Linked DNA regions of Rhinolophus ferrumequinum. The protein of the gene in region 1 purifies or fractionates together with the protein of each later gene. This does not show direct contact. Links are inferred from orthologs where the notes say so. Each region holds a gene or a part of one and is shown on either strand. Other genes may lie near its edges. The genes, in order: PRKACA, MAP2, VAPA and CDK5RAP2.

Region 1 (7,557 bases):
TTTTGGGGTTGCAAATAAATTTTAGCAAGTAGGCAAATTTGCAAATACAGAATCAGTGAATAATGAGGATCTGCTGTAACTGCTAAAAGACTTAATCCAGTGTCAGAGTGGTTGTGAGAAATGCAGGTTTAGTGTGATTCTTAATACACATGAAGTTTGAGAGCCTCTTCTCAAATCCCTTCACTCCCTTCCATGTCTGTTCCCGCCCCAGTCTAAGCAGCCTTCTCCACCACCTAACCCTCACCCTCCTGTATCACACCTGCCAGCAAGCCCTAGCTCCACAGCATCAGGGCCAGCTTCCTCCGTGTGCGACCCAGGCGGTCACACACGACTCCTGGCTTGGTGGGATGTTCTGTTGTCACTGGCTGAAGAACACTCATTTTGAACACAAGAGCCCCGTGTTTTCATGTTGTATTGGTCTCATTTATACCAGTTATGTAGGCGGCTCTGTCCAGAACAACATATCCCCATTCTGTCCACTTCTGTCCTTCTCTATTGCCTGGTCTAAGTCACTGACCTCTTTCCAGGATGACTCCTGCCTGGTCTCCCTGCTCCCATGAAGGCTTTCTTCCATCACAGCTCCACACGCTGCCGCCAGAATTATCTTTTTAGGCTACAGGAGTGATGTGGCACTTAACCTATTAAATGTCTCACTTTTTTCCCCAAGCCCTTACCTGGCCCAATAGTCCCTGGGTAGCCTGGTACCTACCTGCCCACTTGTTCAACCTCATGCCATTCTCCTCCTTGCTTACCACACTCCTCAGCACCATTTACTTGGTGGTACCTGTCACATCCAGCATTTTACAGGCATTTACATGATTGATTCTCTCTTCCCCACTTGATTGAAAACTCCCAAGGGCAGAGGCCATACTTTTGGCTCAATAAATACATGTTGCTTGAGAATGACTGTTACTGGTCAAGGTGTGACTGTGGCAGTTGGTGCTAAGGCCCAGGATGTGTTTCCCGTAGGCTGATGCCCCCAACCCATCCCTCATCCCTGAGAGCGATGCCATCGGTGTGACCGTCGTCCTCATCACCTGTACCTACCATGGGCAGGAGTTTATCCGCGTGGGCTACTATGTCAACAATGAGTACTCCGACCCCGAGCTGCGGGAGAACCCGCCTTTGCAGCCAGACTTCTCTCAGGTGGGGCCTCTGCACTTCCTGCTCCAGACTGGCAGGCTCTTTTGCACTTGGAGGGAGTTGAGTCATTGGAATCTGGAGCCAAGGTCACTTCTTAAGGTTTTCAAGTAGCACCCAGATCTTGCAGCACCGGGTTAGAACAGGGGGAGAGGAGGCTTTGTTTCTCAGAAGCATGCCTCGCAGAATCAAGATTAGATAGCTCCCGGCCCTAAATCATGGTGCACAGGTGTTCCCTGGAGTCCCACACATATTGTTGGTGGTGATGGAACAAGTAAGGTCTGCACTTCCTGGGGTGGGGGGTTGGGAGCGCCCGGGCTCTGTGGGAATAATGAGAGGGCATACTGACAAGTGGATGTTCCTCTTCTTGCCCCAGCTCCAACGGAACATCTTGGCCTCGAATCCCCGGGTGACCCGTTTCCACATCAACTGGGACAACATGGACAGGCTGGAGGACACAGAGAACCAGGACCCTGCCCTGGGCTGCGGTCTCCCCCTCAGCTGCACCCCTATCAAAGGCTTGGGGCTCCCTGGCTACATCCCCAGTCTTCTCCCGGAGAACTCCATGGACTGCATCTAACTGGGGGACTGCAGCCAGTCTCCTAACATATCTGGAAGGGGCAACTGGGCCTGCCGGAGAGTCCTGTGGGGGCCATCTGGAGGACTTTGGGGCCATTAACTACTCCAGGCCAGTCAAACTTGTCCCCGAGTAAAGAACAGGCCTCAGGTCTCTCCCAGCCCTGGCCCAGAAGGATCATCTCATCTCTACTACCCAGGCTTATAAGAAGCAGGTACTTCAGTTCTTAATTCTGACTGGTGTCCTTTCTCTCTTCCAAACACACTATAAATTTCACCTGCAGGCCATTCTACCTACCATGTTCCTGTGAGTACTATGTACCCACAGCTCTTCCCACAGACCTCCCTGGCCTACCTTGAAACTTTGAAGATCAATGGTTGGCAAGGCTTGGACCCTGTTGGGCCAAGGTTCCATCATTCCTTTCTTTTCCCAAACATCTGAGTAGATCCACCCAGCTTTCTGGAGTCAGGCAAAGAATCTGGGTTAGAAAGTGGACTTGGGCACAATTTCCGCCCTCCCAGAACAATTTTTAGGTCTTTTCAATCCAACAGCCCCTGGAAAACTGTCCCCAAAAGTGTGATCAGCAGGATGCTGAACAATGATGGTTGACTCTCAGTCACAACCACCTTCCTGTTGCCTCCTAATTCAATCTGGATTTCCCGGAGGCTGCCACTGTGGGGAGATGCCATGTTGGAGGGGCCTGCTATGCTCGGTCTCAGTGTCAGCATCTGAACCCCTCTGCTAAGACCTCATGCTCTTATGGGCCGCAGAGTGATCGCAGGCATGGGAAGCAGGAGAGACCCTGAAAACCTTCCTTCCCCCTGCCATGCTCCCCTCCATGCCCCCATCTCCTTGCTGCTACATGGATGCTGTTGAGATTGCAGTTTGTATATTAAAGGGTTTTTATATTAAATATGTTCGGTTGGTCTAAAAATAAAAAGCACTTAATTTAGACTGGTTGTTTCTGCTTTTGTCTCAGGTAGGCTGAGGCATCTTTGTCCGTCTCCTCTCTTTGGGACATAGTGGAGGGTCCTCTTGCTCCAACCAGTGGGGTTCACTGCCCCTTGGCCCCTTGCTCAGCTTCTTGCTCTAGTCTTAATTGGTTATATAGTTGTAATCCAGACTGAGGTTTGAGAAGGGATTTTTTTTTTAAAGTTATGCAACCCAGCTGTTCTGCAGATAGAGCATAACCAGTGATTTTTCAGACTTTGACCTTGACCCACAGGAAGAAATTAACATTGTACTCCAAGGACACACAGCATACTTTTATTAAATTTTACTTAACCTTACTTTGTAACCCCACAGCCAGAGGTGGAGTGGTTTGGCTGGTGAGCCATTTCCCCCATAATTCACAGAAGTGCCCCAACTTTTCCTCCCTGGGACTATAGTTGACCTAGCATAGGTGCAGAGAGCAGCTGGGTAGGATGCAGGCAGTACAAGTCTATAAGCAGAGCAGCGAATCAGCTTATAGACCTGAGACCCCATAGCCCTTCTAAGTCAAGGAGAGCTGGCTCATCCTGTCCCCTGCCCTGCTGGACACCTATTTGGGCTTTCCTCTGCTTCAGTGGTTCTCAACTGTGGGCAATTTTGGCCTCCCAGGCACATTCAGGAATGTTTGGAGAGGGTTTTAGTTGTCAAATCCGGTGGAGAAAAAGGTTCTACTGGCATCCAATGGGTAGAGAAACTGGGGATAAGGCAGAAGACAACCACCCCCACCCCCGCCCCCGCGCCAGCAAAGAAATGTGAGTAGTGTGGCAGTGGGAAACACTGCCCTCAAGTTGTGTATGTATAAAAAGGGCACCCTTAAGAGGCATCTTGCTACTTCTCTGCCCCTGGAGGGCAGGTTCCCTCCAACTCCAAGACGGAATCCTCACCCTGATTGCCCCAGATTCCTCCTCTGTAAAATGCGAGCGATAATAGTACCTGCGTGATACAGCCATAGTAGGAAGTAATGTATTTAACGAGTGCCTGCTCTTACTACTGGCAGGAGCCCAGCGTGGGCGCCCAGCAAAGGGATGGGCACTGACCCTCCGCTCCCAAGCGCCCCTTGCTCCCGAGGCCCAGCATCCTCTTGAAGTTCGGGCTGTGGCTGGGGGAGACCCAGGAGCTCCACCCCCACTCCCGGGCCTGCCACTGTTATCCTGCGTCAGGCCTTAAAACTGACGACGGCTGACGGCCCGGCGACCTCTGACCCGCGGCGCCGCTGCGCCCCTCCCCCGCTGGCAGGTGGACAGCGGCAGCATCGGGGGTCCGCGGCGCCCGCTGGCCGGCGGCCGCTGCCGCACTGAGCGGGGGCGGGGGACTGCGGCGCGCACAGGGGCTGGCGGGCACCCGCCTGGACCGCCTTCTGGGCCTCGGAGCAAGCCAGCCTCCGCCGCCCCGCCCGGTCGACCCCGACAGCAAGCTGCGCCGCCGCCCCGCCCTCTCACCCCGGGATTGACACTGAATGTTCTGTGGGGGGCTGGCCGGACCACGCGCTTCGACCAATTGGCGGCCTCGCTGGGCGATCCCCAAGCCCTGTCGCGAGCTTCGGCCAATCAGGCACCTCGCAGGCGCGCGAGTGGCCGGGCGTCCGCGGCACGCGTCACGGGGCTGAGAGCCTATAGCAGCGCGGGAGGGTCGCGGAGGGCCAATGGGCGGCAGCGCGGCGCCGTCAGTCAAGGTGGCCTGGGCCAATGAACGCGGGCTGCGGGAGCGTCACGGACAGCAGCAGCGGACTTGGGCTGAGGTTCCCGGGCGGGCGGGCGCGGAGAGACGCGGGAAGCAGGGGCCTGGCGGGGGTCGCGGCGCCGCAGCCAGCGCAGCAACCCTAGGGGCCGCCGCCGCCGCCGCCCAGCGCGCTCCGGGGCCGCCGCCAGCACCCGCCGCGCCGCAGCTCCGGGACCGGCCCCGGCCGCCGCCGCCGCGATGGGCAACGCCGCCGCCGCCAAGAAGGGCAGTGAGCAGGAGAGCGGTGAGTGCTCGGGCCGAGACCTGGATCCCGGCCCCGCGCTGCCAACCCCCGCCCTGTCCATCACCGCCTGGCCCCTCCCCCACGTGCCCCCCCATTGCTCTCTGCTTACCCCCAGCACGCCCTCCCCCTGCCTGTCCAAGGTTGGGGCCCAGGTCCCGCAGAAGACCCTCCATAGGGGCTACCTTGCCAAAAGCCGCCCCTCGCTGCAAAGACTGTGTCCCCCCCACCCAGCTGTCACTGCCAACCATGGCACGTATGACCGCTGGGGCCCCACATGGGGCCCTGTCACCACCGCACCCCCTCCTTTCCTGGACCCTCTTCCCAGATTCTAATCCCCCCTACTTCCTCACTCGCCAATCCCACAGATGGGACCCACCGCAATACCCCAACCCAAGCTTCTGACAGTCTTGGGAGTGTTGTGGGGTCTGTCTCCACCCCACAGGAACCTTGGCCACTTGGTGACCACACCCCTCCCCCCTCCAGCCCCCGCCATCTTTCTCCTGTCCTTCCCCTCTTCACCTTACCACAGCCCCCCTCCAAACCCACTCTGTCCCCTTGAGTTTTTCCCAGAGCCATGTCCAGCATTGTTTTTACTTTCTGTGTCATTTGGCATGGGGGACAGGATCTTTCTGGGTCCCTCTGCTCCTTTCATCCTGTCACTCTCTGTCACTCTGCTCCTGTGCTTGTGCTTTCTCCTCTGAGCAAGCGTCTGTCCCTGGTTGGGGTAGCAGACTGTTTATGAACCAAGAGAATTGCTTCAGTGTGTCCAAAGCCAAGTTTGAGCTGGTCTTCCTGGGTTCATTGCATCCTCCTTCCTGGGTTGGGGGCGGGGAGAAGGGGCGGCGGCAGGAGTGCCCCTTTCTATCTCCTGTGGTGCAGTGAGCTCTAGCTAGACTCCTTGGAGGGTCCTCAATAATAAATGGTTGTTTCACAACTGAGGCTCCGTCACTCACCCAGTCCTGTGGGCTTCTTCACCCGCTCCTGGCTCAGGATGAAAAGGGGGGGATTAAGAGTGTCTGGATTTAACAAGGCTCATTCAGCTTGAGCCAGGATGGTGAGAAAGGGGACTTGAGGGATGGCAGTTGTGGAGTAGTGGGTGACATCCAGTGACTTGCCTTTTACCAAGGGACATCCTGATCACTCCCTGGGCTCAGCCAGAGAGAGGCTTGTTCCTCCTCAAACCTCAAATTATGTTGGCCTTTTCCAGCCAGCCAGAGAAAGAGATTCTGTATCTGGAAATGCCTTCAGAAATGGCCTTGAGCCCCTTCCTCAATTCCTCCAGCTCTTAAGTTGTCATTGCTCCAGGCCTAAAGCTGGACCTCAGCTAGGATACCCTTCCTGTTACCCAGAAATAGTCAGAGATGAAAAAGGCGACGCCAGATATGCTGTTCCTAGTTACTGGTCTCAGACCCCAATGTCTGAGTCCCCTGAATGCCCTCTCCCAGAAAGACCCAGGCACCAAATCCAGGGAACTTTATTCCCACATGGATTCAGATGGCAGAACTCAGAGTCACTAAGCAGCTATGGGGAGGCCTGACATGTCACCAATGGGCGGGGGACAGGGAGGCAAGTGCCTGTAGCTGAGTGCTTGATGACAGAGGAGCAGGTGGATAGTGACCAAAAAAGGTCTGGGCATGAGCTTGGAGGGGACTAGGCAGAGGGGGGAGGGGCTGGGCCCCCAGCAGGTGAGGCCTGGGAGGTAGAAGGTGGAGGCAGGCAGCTATATATTGCAGTGGCTCAGTTGAAAGTTGGGGAGATGACATAGTCCTGGAAAACTTTCAAGGCATATCAAACACATGCAGTGTGTGTGGAGGGGTGGGAGGGGGTGGAAAGTTACACAGGGAAAAGGATCCCCAAGAAAAAGATCAGAGGCTCCGGAAGTGACCACTAAATCTCTCAGAGCACAGGCCAGATACTCAGGAATTGACCATCACAGTGAAATAGAGCCACTATTTATTGGGCATCTAGGATGTGCCAGGCTAAATGGTCTCCATAGATCTTTCTGCTCAAGTGGTTTTCATAACGGGCTGTTTTCTGAATTTTCCAAACGACCTCTCTAAGTTTGACATAGATGATGTCACAGAGGCAGGATTCACATAGATCCACCTTCCAGCCAACTTTCTGGACCCCAGAATTTCCCAACCCAGACATTCTCAAGCTGCCTCCCTGATTTTTACTCTATTATATTTCCTTAATTTACAATAATAAAAGTTTGATTCACTTTTGTTCAGATGTAAACTTTGCTCCATCCTAAGCAGTAATATAAATGAAATCATGGAATTGTTGTGCCAGTTACATTTCTCTGCTACACATTGAAATACAATGTAACTAGAAAAGTGAAACATACCTAAAATCATTTTTAGCCCTGCCACTGGGACCTATGTCATATATCAGGAAACGCCTGAAGCTGTAGTTAGTTCTAGAGGCTTGCAGGGACTCTCAGAGAAGCAAACAGGATAAGGAAGGAAGCCCCTCTTTGCTTGGAACTCTAATTCTGCAAGGATGGAGTTAGACAAAATTTGCTTTCATATAACTAGAGCCAGGCCTGGGGTGGGGGGTAGAGGGCAGTAGCCAGGCCATCCTGCAGGGGGCACCTGAATTTCATCTGCCAGACACCAACCCTACTGGGGTAAGGAGAATGTCCAAGCCTTAGTAGGCACTACTTAGGCATCCTCCAGCCCCCTGTGCCATCGTCTGGGCGAGACAGTGCCAGCCTCCTTCCAAGAGAGCAGGGATCTGTCTATCTAAAACAAGCCCTGGGGTGGGGTGGGGGAAATCTATACTCAAAGATGCCAAAACCTTGGCAGGGGCCCGGGTAAGATGCTAAGAGGGCAGAGAAAAACAGATCTAGCACTGGACTCTGAGAAGCTAGAGAAATTGAGAGAGG
Region 2 (7,293 bases), on another chromosome or scaffold:
CTCAATCAAAATTCCAGCAAGTTACTTTGTGGATATGGACAAACATCCTAAAGTTTCCATGGAAAGGAAAGAGACTCAAAATAGTCAACACAGTATTAAAGGAGAAGAACAAAGTTGGGAGATTGACCCTACCTAGCATCAAGACTTACTATAAAGCTACAGTAATCAAGACAATGTAGCACTGATGAAAGAATAGACAAATAGGCCAATGAAACAGAATAGGGAACCCAAAAATAGACATACATTTATAGTGAATTGATCTTTGATGAAGAAGCAAAGGCAATTCAGTGGAAAAAAGATAGTCTTTTCAACAAATGTGCTGGAAAAACTTGACACCCATATGCAAAAAAAAAAAAATAAAAAATTGAATCTAGACATTGACTGTGCACCCTTCACAAAAATTAACTCAAAATTATTCATAGACCTTGCTATAGACTGAATATTTGTGTTCCTCCAAAATTCATATGTTGAAACCTAATTGTCAATGTGATGGTATCAAGAGGTGAGGTTTTGAGAGGTGCTTAAACCATGAGGGTGGAGCCTTCATGAGTGGGATTGTGCGCTTATAAAAGAGGCCAGTGAAAGCTCCCTTGTCCCTTCTACCATGCGAGGGCATAATACGAAGCTGCCATCTATAAAGAATCAGGATCTTGCCAGATTCTGAATCTGCTTGTGCCATGCTCTTAGACTTTCCAGCCTCTAAAACTGAGAAATAAATGTTTGTTGTTTATAAGCTATCCAGTTGGTCATAACAGCCTGAATGAGCTATGACAGAACTAAATGTAAAACGTAAGACTATTATACTTTAAAAGGTTACATAAGGGAATATCCTAGTAATGTTGGGTTTGACAATGAATTTTTAAGTGTAACACCCAAAGCATAATCCATGAATGAAAAATTAGTAAGTTAGTCTTCATTAAAATTAAAAAGTTGTACTCCATGAAAGACACAATTAAAAGAGTAAAAAGACGAGCCACAGTCTAGAGAAAATATTTGCAAAACACATATCTGAAAAAGGGCTTATATCCAAAATATACAAAGAACACTTAAAAACTTGACAATAAGAAAATAAGTCAATTTTTACAAATGGTCCAAAGATCCGAACAGACACTTCACCAAGAAGATGTGCAGGTAGCAAATAAAGATTTTTTAAAAAGTTCAAAATCATATGTCATTAGGGAATAGCAAATTAAAACAGCAATGAAGTACAATTATAAACATATTAGGAAGGCTAAAATCTGAAACACTGACAACACCAAATGCTGTTAATGATGTGGAGCAACAGGAATTTTAATTCATTCCTGGTGGAAAGGTACAACCACTTTGGAAGACAGTTGGACAGTATCTTACAAAGCTAAACATAGTCTACTATGCAACCCAGTAATAGTGTACATAGGAATTTCCCTAAATGAGTTGAAAACATATGTCGACACAAAAACCTGAACTTGAATGTTTATAGTAGTTTTACTCATAATTGCCAAATTTAGAAGCAACCAAAATATCCTTCAATAGGTGAAATAGGATAAACAAACTGGTACATTTATACAATGGAATATTATTCAGTGATTTAAAAAAATGAGCTATCAAGCCATGAAAAGAAGAAATCTTAAATGCTTACTGCTAAGTAAAGGAAGCCGGTCTGAAAAGGTTATGGACTGTATGATTTCAACTATATGACGTCAGAACAGGGAGGAGAAAAAAAGGAGGGAGGAATAAGTAGAGCACAGGGGATTTTTCGGCCAGTGAAACTATTCTGTGTAATACTATAGTGGTAGATACATGACAATATGCATTTGGCAAAACCTGCAAAACTACAGCACCAAGAATGAGCCCTAAAGTAAACTACGGACATTATTAATAATAATATCTTGATATTGGTTCATCAATGGTAACAAATGTGCCACTTCCATGCAAAAGATGTTAATAACAGGGGAAACTGTGGGTAGAGGGAAAGGGAATATATTGGGAAATCTGTAGTTTTATTCAATTTTTCTTTAAATGTAAAACTGCTCTGGGAAATAAAACTTGTTAATAATATTTTTTAAAAAAATCTCAAAAAGACCTAAACCCATAGAAATCTATACGATGTTCACAGATCGGAAATCTTAATAGGTTAAGATGAGAATTCTGCCAAAAATTGATCTATAAACTCAGCACAATTTTAATTTAAAAACAGCATTATTTTTATAGAAATGAACAAGTTGGCACCAAAATTTATATGGAAATGCAAAGCATTAGCTAATTCAAAAGGATTTTGAAAAAAGAAGAAGACTGCAGGACTTGCAATACCTAATTTCAAGACTAACTATAAAGCTTGAGAAATCTAAACAATATTTTGATTTGCCAACAGTGAGGAGAGGCAGGATTGTGCACAATGCCTGAAGCTGTATTTGTCTAAGCTCAGAGGTGATACAGACTCAGGGAAATTCTGCCTGAAGTGAAGGAAGGTAGGAGTACTTTCCTTCTAGAATGCGGTTTGTGTGTCAAGTAGCACGGAACTAACAGGAACTGAGAAACACTCAGCAGTTGGACTATGCCGGATTGAAGGGATACTCTCAATGAGTCTCTGCAGCAGCATGCTAGGTCTTGAATGTCAATGGCTAACACTCTAGCAGAATTCTTACTCCTTCCTTCCATCCTATACTATGCATCATTTCATAGTCTCCTAAAACCTCCTTCTTCCCTATCAGACCATGCTCTGAGGAGGAGCTCTAACTCCTCCAACCTCCCTGCTACTTAAGTGTGCCCTGATACTTCCAATCTCATTGCAAGTGTCACAGAGACATGGCATAAAGCTGGGCAGAGGGCAGTAAATATACACAGAGCATGGAGTGTGACCTTGGAGGCCAGGGTTTCAGATCTTACTCTTATAGCTTCTAATCTTTACAGCCTCCCATAATTGGGTCTCTTTTTCCATTTGAAAATTGAGGGAATTGGACCAAATGCCTAAGAAATCAGCTCCAATGTTCTCTGGTTCTATGATTCCTTGGCTGATTTCAGTAATACAACAAATTACAGCTGCTGTTTCCTCAGCACTGTTGAAACTATACAAGCCATTTCGCACCATCTTGGCTGACCGTAAAAACACCTTAGCAGTACTTGATATAAACGTTTGAAGCAATTCTAAGTTGCATCTTTCCTCTCTTACAATAAATTGCTGTTCTCTGATTTGAAGATTCCACGGTAAGGAATCATCTGTTTTCTCAGTTGGTCATTTCACTTTCAGAAGTATTTAAGAGATGATTTCCTTAAGTGGTGATGTTTCAAAGTCAACATTTTCTGTGCTTTCTACTCATTATACTTGTATCACTCTTCATAGTCTTCACAGAGTCTTCTTATTTATTATCTAATTATACCCTCATATTAAACATGCCAGAGGGGCAGGGCTGACATTTTAAATCTTCATTTGACACACTGATACACTGAGATTTAGATTAAGTGAGCGGTGTCAGGATCATACATCTGGCTCTCTAGAAAGCAATGTCCATGGAGGCAGGGTTGCTTTTTGGGGCGGGACAGGGTCTATTTTTATTTACAGATGTTTCCACAGTGTCTAGAACAGTGTCTAACACATAATAGGTTTCGATTAACATTTGTTGAATGAATAAATGAATGAACGAATCTGATTAGTGACAAAGCTGGTTCTAGAATTCTCTAAACCTTCAGCAATTGCTCCTTAAGTCCTGAAAAGAGGTGTTCTCTGTTCTTGTGCTTCCCCAGTTTTCCTCTATCATTTCTGCAACTGCTGTTAGGTTTGTGGAAGCACGGCTAGTGAGTGTTCCCCACAGAGGAGTGACAGGAACCACTGCCCACAGTGACAGAGGAAGGAAACGAGGGGCGTCAGTGGGGGACGCCTCCCAGAGAGACTAAGCTGATTTCCTCAAGGACGTGGGTGAAGATCTGCCGGGTACTTCTGTTCTGAGGGCGCTGGTCTCAATTTGTTGTTGGTAGTGGAGGGGGTGGGATTCTCTTGAGGGGTCCGCCGTCCCAGGCCTGCATGTGGCCACGTCTTGGCAGGCGCTCTGAGGCTGCCACCCCCATCATTCCCGCCGGGCGGCGGTCTGGCTGCGGCAGGAGGCGTGGCAGCTGCGCTCCCCCTCCCGGACACTGCGGCGGTGGCAGCGCCAGCATCACCACCGCCGCCGAGCGGCCAGCAGAGGCGGGCGGGATTTGAAGGGGGCGGGGAGGGAAGGCGGGGCGAGGCGGCCGCGCCGGGAGCGGGCGGCGGGGGCGGTGCTCAGACTGGGCCGAGCGCTCCGGCTGCGCGGGCTCTCGGCGGCCGTGGCGGCAGCAGCAGCATCCTCCTTCTCTCTTTCTTTTCTTCCCTTCCGCTTCTTTCTCTGTCTTCTTTTGTTCTCCTTCTTCCCCTGCCCCGTCTCACTCTCTACTCCTTCTCCCGAGGGCATTAGGTCGTCCTCCAGCCGGTGAGCAGTGACAGCGGCGACCGCGGATGCATCCAGTTTCTGCGTCCAGGTAAGAGAGGCTTTCCCACCTCTGGTTCTATATAGGGCGTCTTTCCTTCTACCTTGTTCATCGCGTAAAGGTAGCCTCAGCCAGGAATGGGATGGGCATGGGTCAGGGCTTGTCTCGTCCGCTGTGCCTTAGGAGCAGGCACAGGTTGGCCGAGCTGTCCAGTCTCCTACCTGACCGAAGCTGCAGGCCCGGCCTCTCCAGGTGTCACTATGAAGCTGGTGACCGGGCGCTGTTACCTGAGCTCTAGATTTGTAGAAGGGTGTGCGACCTTGGTAGGTACCACTTTGAAACTCCCGGAAATTTACGTCAGGTTAGGATACTTGTCCTACACCTGAGGTGTAGGAAGATGAAGCGTGAATTACAAAAAGATGGTGGGAAAAAACGATTTCGAGGTAGAGGATTGTTTTGTCCATCTAGCTGCAGAGAACCACACACGAAGGTATTAGTTAGGGAGCCTTGTCAATTTGAAATCTTTTTCCCTGTTATTCTTCCAGAAACAGCTGGAAGAGGAAAATAGATAAATATTTTTAGGAAAATGAGAAATCAGTGTCTGGTTGTGTTGGAGGGCGGGACACGAGAGGAAAAAAAAAGAGTCTGGATGAGCTTGAGCATCCACAGTCTTTCTTTTTAAACCACGGGAGTGGAAAGCGGCACCTACAGTCCATCTATGCTTTTCTTTTTAAAAAATCTTTTTTGGGGTGGGCTGCAGTGCTGGGTGTCTCTCTTCCCCAACCTCCTCTTTTGTTTAAGGATGGAAATTTAAAGAAAGAGTGTGTGAGAGGAGCGGGAAGGTGTGTGTTTGGTTCGGGGGCGGGGGTTAGTAAAGCGGACGGTGTCAGGAGAAAAAAATCCTTGAAAACTGGAATATTGATATTATATTGCCTGTCGTTGGGACTTCGGGATTTTGTCAGAAAATAAAAAGCTCTCATTAGCAACATGCCCGTTTCTCACGATTGTTGTGTGCCATCTGCTGTAAGTCTTTAGCATAATGCTTCCAGGACATAGACCCTTTAAAACTGACTCAATGTGAATGTTTTTGTTTAAATGCATACACATACACACTCACGCACACTCATTTGCTTGTGCACACCACACACGCATACACATATAATACCCTATATACATAATATTACTAAAGGGAGTGGATACTTAAAAGATAAATCTTTAAAATTTATCTTTGAACGTTTGGGAATTATGGTGTAAATGAAATCTGTAGTGCATAACAAAAAATTGTTGGTGGTACATAATTTTGAATGTGAGGTAGAGGGATTGATGAATGTTGGTAAGGAATTCACTTCAATGTTAAAGATGTTATTTATTTTTAAATGATCCATCTGTGAGAGTCAGTGACGACAAAGTGAAATTGAGGTTTGCAGCCACAGTGAGGCGATGGAGAACAAAGCCTTTTATGTGAACCCTATTATGCAAAATGTCCCATGCTTGAGTTGCAGGTACCAGCCCAGTATAAAGCATAGCTCTGTCACCCTGTCTTTCACTGTGGGCAATTATAATTTTTTTTTTGCAATGAAAGTAGATTACATAAAAGCTATGTAGAATTCCCAAGAGGAGGATTACATTCTTTCATCTGAATGTAACACAAAACACCTCTTTAACTGGGCAATAGTCATCTATGTATTTTTGTAGAAATCTTAATGAATTTGTAAATCATGAGTATTTCAATGACCCCTCCCCCTTTATGCATGGAGGCATCCTCCCACCAAGAAATGGTGAAAAGCGTTTTTTTTCTTTCAATAAAGAATATTATATTTGTGTGTGTGTATCAGTATTGATTTCCTGGTAATTTTATTTGATTATCATAGGTTTACATCTGTATTCATGATTTACATATTATCAGAGCTCTTGTGCCTTTAGGATCAGTGGTACATGCTGTTTATCTGTTCATGATTTAATTTGAATTTATAGTATTTTACAGTTTGCTATAATATTATTTAATTTCCGAAAGTTTTTTTTAACTTTGACCCATAGGCAGAAAATAGCTTAATATATAGTGGAGATCTAAGCAATTTAAAAATTGAGCTTCCTTTTTCTTAAAAAAGAAAAAATAGCGTTTTGATTACATTAATTTTTTTATTTCCTTTGTTTCTCTCCTCTCTTATTCCCTCCCCACCTCCACTCCCTTCTTGTGGAATAACCTGTTTCTTTCTGGCTATCTGTGCTGCTTTATGTCTAGACCACCAAAAGCAGGGCCAGTGTTCTCAGGAATTTGGAATTTAGAATTTGTTAATTCTCTATAGCAACTCTCTCTCAAGATGACTTGTTGACAGCACCTTCTCAGGGAGGAGAAGGAGAAAGAATGTGCTGAGAGAGCATGACCCAGTGAAACTGGCACAGCCATTACCTCATCATAGCCGCTACTACTTCATATTCTGAGAGCCAGCGTCGTCTCGGTGGAAACCAAATGCCAGGAGCACACCCATCTCAGGGCAGGCCTTCTCTTCCCATAGCAGCCTCTAGGAATGTTGCTTTCCTGACTGTAAAGGGATGTTTTCTCTTTTATGTATTTCTTTTCTGGGCTCTTGAACTTGGTCAAAAATATGCATCCAGAAATGAAACTTGGCATAGAATCCTCTAAGCCTGAAGGAATAATTTCATTCCTGTACCACTTTTGGTGTAAATCAATTTGCAATTATTCTAAACATCAGAAGAGAGAAGGAAGAAACATCCTTGCTGGTGTAATTTTGCATGTTTTCTTATGACACATTTTGCGTTGAATTTTACTTGCAACTAGATAACAGACTGGACTGCTATCTATGCTTTTGAGAACGATAGTGGTACTGTTGTACTTGAAAATTAAATGTT
Region 3 (7,991 bases), on another chromosome or scaffold:
AACCCTAGAAAATTATCTTCTGTATCTTCTGTAAGAAGATACCATTCAGTTGCGGATTTAAATATCTAACAACTTACATATATATAGTGTATATTTCAAAAGAGATATCAAATTTTGTGTACTATCATGTAACAATCACTTATTAAAAGGTTACTATTTGCCAAGCACTATGCTAAGCACTTTATTAACGTTATCTCATTTAGGACTCATAAACAATATTAAATATATGTTGTATTATTGCCATTTTATAAATATGGCTGTAGAGTTTAAGTACACAACTGGGCAAAAAGTGATGGAGACTGAAGTCCAGTCTGCCTGATGTCCAAATCTGTGTTCTTCACCCACATCTACTCTAGGTTTTGTCAGGGCTATACAAAGAAGCCTGTATGTTCAGAGACTATGAGAAGTCAGGCAGGGAGTCAAATGTGTATTTAATGTTCATAAGCACCTTTGGTTTCCTTTAAGAATAACTGTATTTGTGGGAGAAAACACATTATTAACTGCAGTGAATCTGTTTAGCTTACAGGTGCTGTAATCTATGTAGTCCAGAGAAGAAAAATGGAATATCAAGAGGAGAAGATGGGTTCAAAGAATAAGGATGGATTCAATGAAAATGTACAATTTTGGAGGCCAACACTATTGACCCAAACAATTTTGGATACTTATACGCAGCCCTTCTTCTGTTGCTGGTATGGGGTGGGATCTAGCACTTGGTGAAAATGGGAGAGATGGCCACCTTCATACATTCCTGATAGAAGTATAAACTACAACAACCCTTTGGATAAACAGTATGTAGTATGTATTGAAATAGGAAATGTCACTGATAGAGTGGTTGCATCACTGGGAATCTCCCTGTGGAAATAAAAGCATTCTGTAATAAGGAAATGTGTATAAGGATGTTTATTGCCGTGCTATTAGTTGTGACAAAAGCCTAGAACAATTTACACATTCATCAATAGGGAACAAATGGTACCATAGATGGGTATTTTCTGGATTCAGAATCTATTCTCTGTATTCAGCTGTTAAAAGACTGAGTTTGATGCCAGTCGACCTTGTCAGATATCCAGAATACACTGTTAGGTGAATAAAGCAATTGTGAAGTAATATGTTAGAATTCTTGTAAAACAAAACAAAACAAAAGCCCCCAAACCAAACTAGCTATGTTTTTATAAGTATGGATAAAGTTGGGGAGTGATACACAATCCAAGCAGTTAGCACTGATTACCTCCGGGGAGTGGAAATTGGAGGTGTACGAGGCAACTTTATTCATTTGCTTTTGGATTGTGCCACTTGTTACAATAAGGACATATTGCTTTTACAGTATAAAAGATTAATTGAAAAAACACATATTATTCAAATTATTTTTCATATACAAAGATGCTTAATCATATAGTTTTAACTGCTTTAAGCTGTCATACAAAGAAAAGTCCCAGGGTAAGTCTTTTTCCTAATTCTTCTTTTTCCAGACTTGATTTGATCTGGTGCAGCTTCCATCGGCCTTCTCTTGGAACCTATATTTCTCACAGAAGTTTGACATATATGCTACAATAAGCCCCACCAACATATCCACATTTATACAAGCATTGCGTCTCTGTGATACTTGTTGACCTTATGCATATTTCTGTTGGTTATCGCTCTAAAGCATATGTATCAGTTTTAGAAAGAGCTCTTCGTGTGCAGTGATTCTGTTTCATTCATATTTTACCTGCAGCATCATGTTACTCTGTCAAGTGAAAGTTTTCTAGTCCTCACCTTATAGTTAACAATTCAGCAGATTTTTACGCTATTGACCTTCTTGATCCATTCTTGGCTTCCATGACACCTGACTCTCTGCAGCACTCTAAAATCCGAAGCAGGAAGCAACACAATAAAGGGAATTAAGTGCTAATAAAATTTTGGGGAAGGGTGGAGGAGCAGGCTCTAGATGAAGAATAACTCCCAGGGCAAGAATAAACTGCCCCATCAGGGCAGCTGCTGCCTCTGAGGCTGCCCCTCTTACCTCTGACCCAGGGATCAGGAAGCTGGACTCAGGAAGGAACTACTTCTTCTGCTGACCCTGCAACAATTAACTGTGTCTTGACATCCAGGAAGCTGGTACATGGGCACTGGAATGCTAGGCAAAAAGCCTCAAGTCTCTGTGCTCTTGCTTCAGCAGAAAAATAGCCAGAAGGTGCAAAAAGCTGGCCTCCATCTCAGTTCTAACTTTCCGCTATCACATGAGTGTACTTCACTAGTTGAACTTATTTCAAGAACAGAATCCTAGCTGCAAATGGGCATTCATGTTTGTCTCTCCTGCCTGAATATAAGCCTGTAAGGGCAGAGACCATGTCCATTGGCTCATCACTGTATAACCTACCACTGTGCCCAGCACACAGCAATAATTTAACATTTAACATTAATAAGGAAACGGTCCTGGAATCAGGCAGTATTCTAAGCTCTTCATGTGTAATAACTCATTTAATTATCATAACAAACCTCAGATATAGGTATTATCATTCTCCCCAATTTACCAATGTAGAACAGGTACAAAGAGTTCAAGTAAGTTGCTAAGACCACATAGAGCAGAACAGGACTTGAACCCACCAGTTCAGATCCAAAGCCTGTACTCTTATTCAATACATTTTACTGCTTTAATATTTATTGAAAACGTGCCCATTTAAATGTTTACTGAATTGAATTATGCAGAAAATTGATCATAAACATATTCAGAATTATAGAACTCCTCTAAAGTTTAACATGTTTAACTATGGAGAAGATGGTATACATTGTTAATAGCATTTGTACTGGAAACTGGTAGTTTTTTTTTTTAATCCTTGCCAAACCCATGAGATAATCTGTCCAAAGGTGAATATTATTAGTAATTCAAGTAGGTCGAAGTAATATTCAAGGTCTTCACACCTCTTATACTCAGGAAAGCTTGAGAGCTAGAGAAATACGTTTGGATATATTTTGCTAATATCTCAGGAGAGCTGCGTTAATCAATGTAAAAAGAGTAATGAACATTAGGCTATATATCTTTCCATTCCTAGCTTAAGTGTTAAACCTTAGATAAGTCAATTACATTTTAAATGGTTGCTTTAATTACTCTTGGTTGTCATTTTATTGTGACTGAGAAGAGCAAAAATGCACAGAATGAAAAATTAGGTAACTTTCCATAGTTTAGCTCCATTACTGACGTGAGATGCTCTCACCTGTGTTTTCATTTTCATATTTAACAATAAATTAACACTTGTTAACTGTTATAAAGTTGTTCTGAGTAGTGTATGATGATGTTTGTAAAGTTCTTTGAACTGTTTGAGAAAGGTATTGATAAATATACAAGCACAAACCACTGAAATAGATTACCGTATATTTAAATTCCTATAGATTTTAAGATTGTACTATATGATTTTTGAAGCAATATCGAGAAGAGAAAAACAGTTGATTCCAAAGATGATGACTTAAATGGGCAGAGGTTTCTTAATGATACAGACTGGGAAACTGGAATACATCCAATTCTGGCTTCCTATTGAACTCTTGGTGAATGGGCAGCCATTGTCCCATAGGGGAGTGACTGGGAACTTCCTCAGCATGCTATACCTTCTAATTGGTTGTTTGCACAGTGGGGATTCATATGCTTTCTGGTAAGAGAAGTGTCATTCTCGCTGTGGAGGAACCACTTCAGCCACGGCTAACTTGCCCATGGATAAGACATCTTAGGCAAGCAAAAAATTGGAGTTTGTGTCAGTTTTAGGGCTGTCAGTTCATAACTAAAATTATGTGGAACACTATCTTGTGGAGTGAATGTCAACCTCGACTTTTTTTTTTTTTAAAGCTCTAAGCCCCCCCCCCCCCTTTTGGTAAACATACAATTTTTGTATTCTCCTTTAATGGTAATTGACATTTAAAATAAATTTTGTTAATAAATAGAAATCAAAGGAAAGGTAAATTTAGAATATGCTTTTCAAACTACTTAAGCACTCCTATCTTCTGAGATTTTTCATGACTGAAGATACATTCCTCTTGTGTAGCACAATCTTCTGTGAATGCTAGGCTATGTAGTCCAGAGAGCTATTCCCACATGGGCTCTGATACATGGATTGCACCTGAAAACTTGGACTTTGTGCCTACGCCTCCACTACTGTTCCCATTTGTCTCTCATTTATTTTCTAGACTACCTGGGCTGCTCTTTCATGGTAGTAACATCAGTATGTCTTTTGTTTCGTGGTACTTCCTAGGAATTTAAACTCAAGTAGGTTTATTTATAGCACATTTATTTGTTTCATTTAATGATTTTATCCCCATTACCTTGGCAATCGGTTAAAGATTTGTCAGCAACTTTGCTACTGAGATTTTTCTAATTTGGCTCAGTTTGCTACATGCCACCGTAAATGATGCAGATGGAATTCATTTCCTGTATGTTAACGTGACAATTGTTTTGGTTTGGGTCTACCATTAATCAAAACTGATGAATTGACTACAGCAACTGAACGCTGTAGATTTTGACTTTATTTTTAGCTTTATACGTGTGCGTTGTCAGATTTCCCCAACGACGCGTTTGCTTTTAAAATGAGGTTCGTTTCCTCATCTGCTTTTGCATCACTGGAGTATTCAGGAAGCAGAAGAGATTGGATTGGAATACGACACAGAATTTACCTCTACTAATAGAGGATCGGGTAGGATTTGAGAGAAAACCGACAAATCCCGGCATGTTTTCCAAAGAGAATATTTTTATTTCTAACCAGGGGACCTCAGGTCAGTCTCCAAAAGTTTTTGTTTTCTTTTTAGCGCAGACGAGAGGCCATCGGAGAGCCAAAAAGAGTGTCAGCACGCCCAAGCCCATTGGCCTCCAAGAGACCTTACTCTCCTTCCCGTCCACGAACAGCCACTACTACAATTCCCAGCAAGCATCGCGCAGTGCCGCAAAAGGAACAGGCCGTAGGCAGCGGCTCCGCCCTCCGCACAAAGCATGCTGGGAGTTGTGGTGAGTGAGTCTGACTACTCCTTCCTTCCGTTAGGTATTCCCGTTTGGGAGATGGTGATGCACTACCACAACGGGTTCTCCAGTTTTGTAATAGCAGCTAAGCGTGAACGAGCACTGTGCCCGCCTGCCTGGCAGTGCAAACCGCATTAGTTCCACGGAACTTGGTTCCGCCCCTCTCCACACCCGTTCCCTTGACAGCTGGGCTATGCTCCGGGCGCCGACGAGGCCGGGAGTGCGCAGGCGCAACAGCCCGCGCCTCTTAGGGCAGGACTCGAGGGCGGGACGAGTGCTAGGGAGTCCTGGCTCCCGGGGCGCGCACGTAGGCACGCAAAAGCTGTCACGTGGGGTGCCGAGGATCGCAGTGCGCGTGGCCGCGACGGCTGGTGTGAGGTTGAGTCAGTTGTGAGATCCGAAGCTGCTGACCCAGCGGGAGGCCTACCGACCCGGCGACAGAACGGCAAGCGTCGGGGTGCGGGAGCCGTGCGCTGGCCCCATCACAGAGCTCGGGTGAGCCGGCGCCACCGTCGTCCCCCGCCTCCAGCCAGCAAACCGCCGCCGCGGGCGCGCCCCCGCTCTGCGCTGTCTCCGATGGCGTCCGCCTCTGGGGCCATGGCGAAGCACGAGCAGATCCTGGTCCTGGACCCGCCCACAGACCTCAAATTCAAAGGTAGGAAAAAGGCAGCCCCTGACTGGGGTGGGGCGGGCGGAGGGCTTGATTCGGGGCGGGCGGTGGGTGTGGAGGGAAGGTCGGAGGCCGGGGCCTTAGTTGAGCGTCCCCTCCCCCACGCCCCAGCACTCTCGTTCTCCCGCGGCGCCTCGCTCCGGCCCTTGGCCTGCCTGCTCCGCAGCCGGGCCCAGTCCTTCGCTCGGCCGCTCGCGCCTCGGTGCGCGCGCCAGCCCGGGCGAGGCGGAGGGGCCAGGCCCTGGCGCCGCCGCCGCCATCTTGCGGTCCCGCGGGGGCGCCTCTTGGTGCTGCCCGCGCTGCTGCCCGCGTCTGGCACTTGTCCTTAGTCCTGGAGGGCCGTCGGGCGTTGTCTGGGAGGGCGTGGGTGGGCGGTGACCTTCGAGCTTACGCTCTGGTCTGCGGGGGAAAGGGGGGCTCTGGGGCTGGCGCAAGGGCCGCGGTCTCCCGCGCGGGCTGTCACAGGCGCTGGGAGGCGAGGCGCGGCGAGCCAGTGGCGCGGCAGCCCCTGGACTCGGTTCCGAGAGAGAACCACTCCTCGGCCTCCGCTGCCTCAGTCCGCCTTCTGAGGACGGGCTGGGTGGAGCCCGCCCTCGGCCCACGCCGAGGGTTTTGCTCCCTGCCTTTTTGCCCAGTTTGTAAGTCGGCTGTCAGGTACATCGAGCGCTAGGGAGGCGGAGAAGCCCACGAAGTCTTCTGGTTATGACTTACCCGGTTGTATTGGCAGAGACCCAAGCGCGTGCGGGCAGGAAAGCTCTGCGTCAGCCCGAGAATTGATAGTAAGTTAATAGGAGACGTCTTCCTGGTCCTCCGATAGGACATTTCAGCTTACCTTCCGCGTAGAGCAGACCTGGTATTTGCTCCTGTTTAGTCCTTTCATTTAGCTTTTTTTTGCTGCGGAATCTTAAGTGTTTGTGACTTTTGCCTTTACGTTTGCGGTTTTTCAACAAACGCCTGATAAGGGTGATAAGGTGTCACTCAGCACAATTATATTTTTCATAAGAAAAGTTGTAAATAGTTTTAGGAATTTTAAAAGAGTGTATTCTGGCATTATGTTAGAGTAGTATTATATAATTCCTTTATTTTGCAAGCTTTTTAGTGCATTTGTAAGTATCTTTGAATGGAAACGTAAGTGAGCTGCTTGTTAGGTCAGGATTGGTTTTAAGACAACTACGAAATACCTTGACGGGCACTAAGTGCATTTTACGTTTCAAGTTGGTGCGTGGGGCATGATTACACATAGTTTTAACTGGAAGAAAAAGAAAAGCCTGTGGGTAATTATGAAATTACCTAATTCAAATAGTCGTTATTTTAGATTGGAGGAATTTAGTGTAAACCTTTATGGTGTGTATTCTTTCCAGAATTTAAGTATTTTGCTTTTACTCTTTGACAGGCTGAGTTTATAGAGGAAATTTCCTTTATTGGATAACCGTGTGTGTTTTGCTGTTAGGGACTTGGAAGCCTTTTTAACTAGGTTTAGGCCAGGAAATACCGAAAGTTTGAAGCTTTTTCCCTAGAGAAGTTGTAATGTTGCCATAGTAAGAGACTTATAATAGAGAAGCAAGTTAACCAAAAACATTACACAATGACATCCGTATATTTTACTTATTTTATATATTGAAGAATTACTAGCTATGAGTATAGAATAGGCTGTTCTAGTGCTGTGGATGAAAGTAATTCACAAGGCCCATTTTTAAAAATTTGGACATCAATGACTACCTTTTAAAATTGACTGAAAAAGTGTTTCATTGAAAAGTTTATAGGGACACATTCAGTTGGGTCATTTATTTGGCAGACACTTACTGAAAGCTTGTTGCTGTCCCTGTATTCAGAGTATTTAAGCAATGAGTAATTCATTCAGCAGGTATCAGCTGAAGGGAGACATCAAAGGCATATAGATGTTATGTCAGAGGCAAAACAAGTGTGTATGAGGCAAGAAGCTCCTTGCTCCCTGCCCTCTCTTTCCTTAAGGAAGCATTCTGGGAAGAAGCTTGTTTTCCGTTGAGGAGCGGGGGAAAGGGTTGGGCAAGGGAGTAGTGTGGTTTGTTCTACCGCAGATGTGAGAGAATGTAGGGCTTATACTTAGATACCCAGGGGTTTGCTGTGTGTTTCTGTTTACAGGTGGGGTAATGGGGAGGATTGGGAAAGAGGAGGGATAGGATGAATTAGGTGACACTTGGTGGTATTTGGTTTCTTCCTCCTTAATGTTATTCTTTTAGTCAAAAGTAAGTACTTAGCTTTGACGGAATCCTCTCTGTATTCCAGTGCGCAGTTCAATAGTAAGTAAGGAGATTCATTCAGAATTAACAATCTCCTGATGTTCAGTTTGGTGATGATATAAAAACT
Region 4 (7,293 bases), on another chromosome or scaffold:
AGGACGCTGATGGGGAGGCTGGCTGGGGGACTTCTTCAGAGCCAGGGGCAGGGTGCTGTGCTGGGAAAGCTGCTGACCTGGGGACAAGACTGACCTGGGTTTGAATCTTGGCGCACCTACGCATTTGAACGGTGACCTGGGCAAATCTAGGACAAATGTGTAACAAACGAAATAATGATAGTAATGGATTATGACCCATAAGATAAAGGAAGTGTCTACAAGTCCATACTGATTTAAATAAACAACCGAATAAATGGGGGAGATGAGAAAGCTCTTCCTTACATTAGAATTCTAACTAATAAATATAGAAGGCATGAGGAAAGTAGGAAATCACCAAGTGGCAAATACCACTGTAGTCATTGTGTTGGGTAAGAATTATCAATAGATGATCAGTGGGGGAAAGTTGGATGAAAAACAATACATTTGTATCGTCTCAAATATCACCCCCAGGATTCTTATTAATTATAAGAAAATAGTAATCTTACCACACAGAATCTTGGCAGATACCATTTTAGCCAAGAGATTGGAGTTAACATCACCAATGCGTGAGACATCTTAACGCCACCTGGCTTCTGATACCCTGAGAAAGGCACAGTGTCACCTGTGTGCTTTTCTTGCCAAAAGTGCATAATCCCAATCTAATCATGAGGAAACACCACATGAACCCAAATTAAGAAACATGCAATCCGATAACCGGCAAGAACTTCCATAAAGCTGTCAACGTCATGCAAGAAAGAAAGGAACTGCCACAGATTGGAGGAGAGTCAGGAGACGTGACAATGAAATGCAACGTGGGATCCTGGATGGGATCCTGAGCCAGAAAGAGGACACTAATGGGAACACTGATTAAATTTAAATAAGGTCTGTAGTAAATCATATTGCAGTAATTTCTTATTTTTGACAATTGTGCTATGGTTATGTAAGATGTTAATATTTTGGGAAGCTGGGTGAAGGCTCCACAAGGGATTCTTTGCACTATTTTTGCACCTTTTTTTCTAAGTCTGAAATTATTTCTAAATGAAAAGCTAAAAAAAGAAAGAAAGGGGAAGAGTGGCCTTTGGCCAAACTGTCCTCTCTCTGAGCCTTAGTTTCCTCATCTGTAGGACAGGGCAATAATTCCAATCTACCTCAGAGCGTCACCAGGATAAAATGAAATAGTGCACAGCAGCAATGTGTATGTGTTGACCCTATAAAAAGGTTTTCTTGCTGTTAGTAATGGCAGCTCACGTATTCTGAATGAGATGCTTGAGCTGCTAAAACTTCAGGAGGGTTCTACCCTAATGAGAAACATCTGTCTGCAAGCTACTTCCTCCCAGCCATTCAATATGACCTTGCTCAAGGAAATAATAATGCCAGCTTTGTGGCTGGGTGGCTGTTGTCAAGGAGATGGCGCCAGATAGCCCAGACAGCTGGTGGTAGTGACGTCACCTCCAGGCTTGGCAGAAAGAAAGGCCATGGTGAGACAGAGACAGGGCAAAGGGCTTCGTCCCTGACCATGAAAACAGGAAAAACAACTTCCCAAATAGCCTATCCTTTGTATGATTGATTCTATTTTCAGTTTCCAGGTTCACTAAAGGGTTTAGCACACCATCCAGGAACACGGTCATTTGCCGAATGGGGCAATGGATTAAATAAGAACTCTATTTCTTTATAGTTTCCAAAGTATCTAATTAGATAATGCAACTATGTGAGCTCAGCATTGTCTGCCCCATTTGACACGTAGGAAAACCAAGGAGGAATAAGCAGAAGGGACCCCAGGTCACAGAATAAGTTGCAGGAGTTTCCAGAGTGAGAATCCAGGTGCCTAGACTTCCAGTCCTGCATTCATTACTGCCCACACTAAGATTCACCTTGTGGCCACCTTGAAGCAGTTGCCCAAGGAGTAGAGTCGGGAGAACACATCTCTGAAATTCTGTTGTATGGATGTAGACATCACCTCTTAATTATAAATTCTAAAGTGGAGAAAAAGAAACGAATAGGAAACATAGGCTGTCTGAAACAATTAGGGTGTTGGTGTTGAGAGGACCTGAGCTCAAATCCCAGCTCTGCAGTGAGACCTTGAGAAAGTTCTTTTTACCTCTTTCAGCCTCAGTCTTCTCACCTGTAAGTGAAATGGGGATAATAGCGCCTACTCCAGAGGGCTGTGGTGATGGTAAAATGAGGTGGTGCATGTGATATGCCTGGCACAAGTGGCACAGACACTCAGAATATGTAAAGTCCTCTTCCTTGTTTTCTTTCTCAAGAGCTTTCAGCTGCTGGATGGAAAGTTAGTTCCCCCATCTGGGAAGTGATGATTTGTAACTTCGCCTCCCTCACCAGAACAGAGTTGCTCGTGCATTAGTAGAAATCACCTCCAGAGCTGGGCGGTCCTGAGACATCCATCCAGCCCAACCCTGTTATTTTACAGATGTGGAAACTGAGGCCCAGAGAAGAGAGATGGTCCGCCAAAGATCACAGAGAGTTGGTGGCCAAACCAGGGTGGGAATCCTGACACCCCAGCTTCCTTGCTGTTGGACATATGTAGTACTGGGAAGAACTGTTGGTTTCAGGGGTTCAAGGATTGCCCCTTCCCTGGGGCAGGCCATGCGGCATGCTGCTGGTTTCTGCACACTCTCTCAGACTGTTATTTTATTGCTGATTCTAGGAGTGGTTGAAGATCTGGGGAAGCAAGAGGGACAGGTATACACCATCACTATGAGCTTTGTAGGTTTACTACTGAGGTGGTGGTTGGTGGGGTGGAGGGACGGAGGGAGGGAGAGAGCGAGAGAGTGAGAGAGAGAGAGAGAGAGAGAGTGGGATACATGGGATTACCACTGACTGAGTTACTAAAGGTATCTCAGGTCATTCTTACCTCATGACAAAAACCTTGCAGAGTAGGTTTTAGCCCCATTTTCCAGATTGATTGAATCATTCCTTCAACATATATATTTAAACACCTGGTGGGTGTGATAGTTATGGGAGATATAACAGTAAACAATTCGGAACACAGTCTCTGCCCTTATGGAGCTTCCAGTTTAGTGCAAGAGGAAGACATTAAAAAACCCCCAAATGCAGAAGTTGTTATACTTGCAAAATGTGTTAAGTGCTACGAAGGAAAAACACCATTGCTGAGATTATAAGAAAGGGCTTGATTTACCTTCGAGAATTAGAGAAGGCCTCTTTCGGAAAGTAACTCTTCAATTGAAGAAGGAGGAAACTGACGGTGCGGGTGGTCTTATACATGATTGTAGGGAAAGTCACCATCTACCCACTTGCCCATCTTTTCAAGGTATTTTCATCCAGGGCTTTCCTGGTAGCAACCTTGAGATGGGGAGACGAAGGTTGAGTTCACTGGCCAAGTTCTGCCCCAATTATCCAGGTGTTTGGTGATGGCTCTGCTTTAAGGAAGGTCGCCAGGGTTATGCAGAGATCCCTGATGCAGCTGGCAGGAGCCACAGATCTGGCTTGAGGTGACAAACTTACTGTGCATGACTTTGGGCGAGTCATTTCCTTTCTGTGTGCCTCAGCTTGCCGACCTCAGGTGCGTTTGAGCCCTAGAGGTAATAAGGAATCATTAGGCGACAGACTGCATAGTAAGTGCCGCTGACCACTTGGCTCATAGGAAGGAGCTTGTTTGTTTCAAACTAAGTGCACAAATTACTACTTGAGTTGGGATTCTACAGGTTGGATTTTTCTAAAGCGAAGCAGCACCCGATTATCTGAGTTTCAAGACAAGGCAGAAGCCTTTTGGAAGCACACACTGCAAGGTTCGGGGTCATTATCCTAGAAACACACACACCAGGTTTTACGAATTCTGAGCATCCGTGAGGGGGTGCATTCCCGACTCCCGCTTCAATGAACCAACCGAGGCCGGCTTTCGCCCTCAGCAAAGATGGCGCCCGCCCCGCCTCGGCCTGGATACCCTCACAAAAAATGGCAGCTGGCCCCTCTGTCGTTCGACTCGCGGGCCCCAATGCGGACGCCCTGCCCTTTGTTAAGATGGCGCCTGCCCGCGCATCCCTGCCCGGCTTCGGGCCGCAGCCGGTCGGCTTCAGTGAAAGCTCCTCGGTGACCCCGCCTCGTTTCCGTAGGAAGAAGCGCCGGGAAAGATGGCGGCGGCTGCGGTTTGAATTCCAGCGGCGCCGCCAGAGTCCGAACAAGAGCTGGATTGGAGGGGGCGGGGACCTGGGGAACCCGGCGGGTCGCGACCGCGTGGGGAACCAGTGGTGCCGCTGCCACAAGCACCAGTGCTACCACCTCCTCTGTGTCCATGATGGACTCGGTGTTGGAAGAGGACGTCACCCTCCCCGGGACGCTCAGCGGCTGCAGGTGCGGCCCGCATTTTGGGGGTTCGCGATAACCGGGTCGGGGTTCCAGCTGTTGAGGGTTCGCTCCAACGGAGACTTGGGGTTTGCTCTTGAAGGTGTTTGAAGGTTTGCAGACAGGGGCAGTGTGTAAGGTGGGTTTTTTTGGGGTGCGGGGTGCCTCCTTAGGGACCCACCAGCTGATACTGAGTGGGGCGGGGGGGTACGACCTGCACCACACCCGCCTCTCGTATTTCGGGACATACGGGGAAGGGGATGTGAGGGACAGGTAAGGGATTCTCCGAAAGAGCGGGACAAGGGGGACCTCTTAGAGTGGACCCTTAGTGGAGGCTGGTTGGGGGCAGGACCTTGGGAGTTTGCTGTCATTATGGTGAGTGTAGTTGGTCTGTGCAGACTTTGCTAGGGGGTCACATAGTGGCCACCAAGACTGAGGCAGAGGTTAAGAACCTTGGCTGGAGTTGAACAGAATTGGGTTCAAGTCCAGCCCTTTAAACTAACTAGCTGTGTGACCTTGGTAGAGTGGCTCAACCTGCCTCCTCGTCTGTAAAATGGGGCTACTAGTAAAATCCACCCAACAGAGTCGGGGTGAGGGTTAAAGGAGAAGGTGTCTGCCCCTGTCCAGTAGTTTGTTTGGCAAGTGTAGTGCCTGGCACATAATCAGTGCCAAAAAATTGACTGTGTTGCCTCCATCATTGTCAGTAGAATGGGGAGTAATGGTCGAGAGAGTGGCCTCCCAAAGGACCTGCCCAACGAGGCAGTTGGAGTCCACATTGCTGGTGGCGCCGGTCTCTCTCCTTCTGGTAGGAAGGCCTGGCAGAGCCGGGCATGGCCCCAGGGCCAGGGCCCTTTGGTTGCCCAGGGCTCCTGGTTGGATAGTGAGTAGAAGGATGCAGAGGAGAGCCTGACTGAGAATCCGCAGTGTTTATCCAAATCTACTAGGGACAGGCTGCTTCTTTTAGTCAACAGACCCTAATTGAAAGGGTGACCATGTTATTTGTTGTGTAAACCCAGACACTTTTAAGAGTGAAATGGGCACAATTAATACATATGCCTGGACAGCAGGCATAAACAGGTCCAATCATGGGCAAACCTGGACAAATGGTTACTTTGTTTATTGAGAACCTACTGTGTATAAGGTCGAGAAGGCCCTTTGCAGCTCCTGCCTCGTTGGATCCTGTGGCAGTTCATGTCCCTTTCTCTTCATCTTACTAGACTACCCAGATATCTTGGGGGACGACCTCTCACCTGGATTGTCATATTTTCCTTCATGCCCCTAATAGTCCTTTATACCACAGCTTGAAAGCTCTTTCTAAAATGTACATCTGATCATCACAGTCTGCACTTTATGTTTAATGCTTCTCATGGCCGTTAAGATAAAGTCCATTATTCTCTCAGACAGCTTTTCTCATCTCAGTGCTAGTTGGCCAGACCTAGCTGGTGGGTTTCAATCCCAGTTCTGCCACTTATCAATCCTGTGACGTTGGACAAGTCACTTATTCTCTGGGAGCCTCAGTTTTCATCATCTGTAAAGTGGGTGAGTCTAGAAGCGTTTTAGCCCAGTGTCTGATCCAGCAACTCAGCAGATCATCAGATAGTCTCCCTTCCTTCCTCTCCCTGACTTCGCAGGGAGAAGGGGCTGCATATATTCCTGGCAACTAATCTCTTACTCACCTGCTCAGACCCTCCCCGGCTCCTTTCCAAACTCAGGATGGAGTTGTTTAATGCAGCTTCTAGGGTCGTTCCTAGTCTGGCCCATCAACTTCACAGCCTCCTTGGTCCTCCCTCTCCCTACCCTGTCTTCTCCCCGGGCTCACCTGGCTGCCAGATTCTTTGTCATGAATGCCTTGTCCTTTCTTACTTCTCGGCCTGTGCACTTTCTGTTCCTGCTGCTTGGATTGCCCTCCCTCCACCCCTTTGCCATATTAATGCCTACTGTTTTTCAGGTCTCACTTTAGATGTCACTGCGAGGAAGCCTTCACTGACAGTTCCCCATCCCCACGTGGGTCCTCTGTACTCTTCGAGCCACCCCATCCGTCACTGGCCCTATTGCAGCCCTTGTTCACCTCACTGGATTGTACTGATGAGCGCTGTCCAATAGAAATCTAATTGAGCAACATATGTAATTGAAAATTTTCTAGTAGCCACATTAAAAAAGTAAAAAGAAACAGGTGAAAATAACTTTAATAATATATTTTATTGAACTCAGTATTTCCATATATGATCATTCTAACTTGTAAACAGCAAACTGTTACTAATGAGATAGTTTATGTTCTTTTCTGTCTTACTGACTCTTTGGAGTCTGGTATGTATTTCACACTTGCAGCACTTCCCAGCTTGGGTTACCCACATGTCAGGTGCTCAGTGGGCACACGTGGCCGATGGCGCCTGTATTGGACAGTGCAGGTGTGCAGTTAACTTGTCTGTCTCCCAGATTAGACTCTGACCTATTTATTTACGAGCAGGGGCTGCATTTTAATCATCTTTGTAGCCCTAGGTCCTCACCAGGTATCTGGCTCATAAATGGGGTTCAGTAGCTATTTGTTAACACTGAATAAAAAGCGATCTTTTTAGGTGACAGTATTATCCCCTTTTCACAGGTGAGGGCCCTGAGTCTCAGAGAGGTGGATAGTCGGGGCTCCACAAAAAGTACATGATCGAGCCAGGATGTAAATCCAGGCCTACTGACTCCAAAGCCTGGCTCTCAGTATCCTGTTCGGCTTTCCAGTTCGTTCTCTGAACCTATTCTGAGAGGATTCTGGAGGATTCCACGGAGCTGCTGGGACTTGAATTGGCCCTTAAAGAACAGCAGAAATGTTCTGAGAGCCAGGTTCTCCATTAGGTGGGCACAGTGGAAGAGAAAAATCCCTAGAATGGAGTCACCTCGTCTTCTGCTAATATGAGTACTCTTGTGCTTGGTAATTTCCAAGCCCCAGTTGTAGAGACTAAACTGGAGTCCAGTTTGTGCTCAGACTTTTGTTGAATTAGAACA

What was found.
Region 2: the proteins of PRKACA (region 1) and MAP2 purify together in Homo sapiens (affinity purification with mass spectrometry; 3 studies listed by BioGRID and IntAct, with this or other methods). This does not show direct contact. The link is inferred for Rhinolophus ferrumequinum from reciprocal best matches to the Homo sapiens genes PRKACA and MAP2.
Region 3: the proteins of PRKACA (region 1) and VAPA purify together in Homo sapiens (affinity purification with mass spectrometry; 4 studies listed by BioGRID and IntAct, with this or other methods). This does not show direct contact. The link is inferred for Rhinolophus ferrumequinum from reciprocal best matches to the Homo sapiens genes PRKACA and VAPA.
Region 4: the proteins of PRKACA (region 1) and CDK5RAP2 purify together in Homo sapiens (affinity purification with mass spectrometry; 6 studies listed by BioGRID and IntAct, with this or other methods). This does not show direct contact. The link is inferred for Rhinolophus ferrumequinum from reciprocal best matches to the Homo sapiens genes PRKACA and CDK5RAP2.

Annotation. Positions count from the first base shown.
Region 1 is NC_046301.1:47,890,038-47,897,594, forward strand, and holds the start of PRKACA (cAMP-dependent protein kinase catalytic subunit alpha), read left to right. Parts: upstream 1-4,416; 5' UTR 4,417-4,624; coding exon 4,625-4,670; intron 4,671-7,557. Other genes in the region: histone chaperone ASF1B, read left to right, coding at 970-1,146, 1,517-1,720.
Region 2 is NC_046291.1:24,036,486-24,043,778, reverse strand, and holds the start of MAP2 (microtubule-associated protein 2), read left to right. Parts: upstream 1-4,253; 5' UTR 4,254-4,473; intron 4,474-7,293. UniProt on the Homo sapiens protein: The exact function of MAP2 is unknown but MAPs may stabilize the microtubules against depolymerization. They also seem to have a stiffening effect on microtubules.
Region 3 is NC_046302.1:8,139,190-8,147,180, reverse strand, and holds the start of VAPA (vesicle-associated membrane protein-associated protein A), read left to right. Parts: upstream 1-4,910; 5' UTR 4,911-5,551; coding exon 5,552-5,630; intron 5,631-7,991. UniProt on the Homo sapiens protein: Endoplasmic reticulum (ER)-anchored protein that mediates the formation of contact sites between the ER and endosomes via interaction with FFAT motif-containing proteins such as STARD3 or WDR44.
Region 4 is NC_046295.1:71,103,254-71,110,546, reverse strand, and holds the start of CDK5RAP2 (CDK5 regulatory subunit-associated protein 2), read left to right. Parts: upstream 1-4,060; 5' UTR 4,061-4,249; coding exon 4,250-4,308; intron 4,309-7,293. UniProt on the Homo sapiens protein: Potential regulator of CDK5 activity via its interaction with CDK5R1. Negative regulator of centriole disengagement (licensing) which maintains centriole engagement and cohesion. Involved in regulation of mitotic spindle orientation.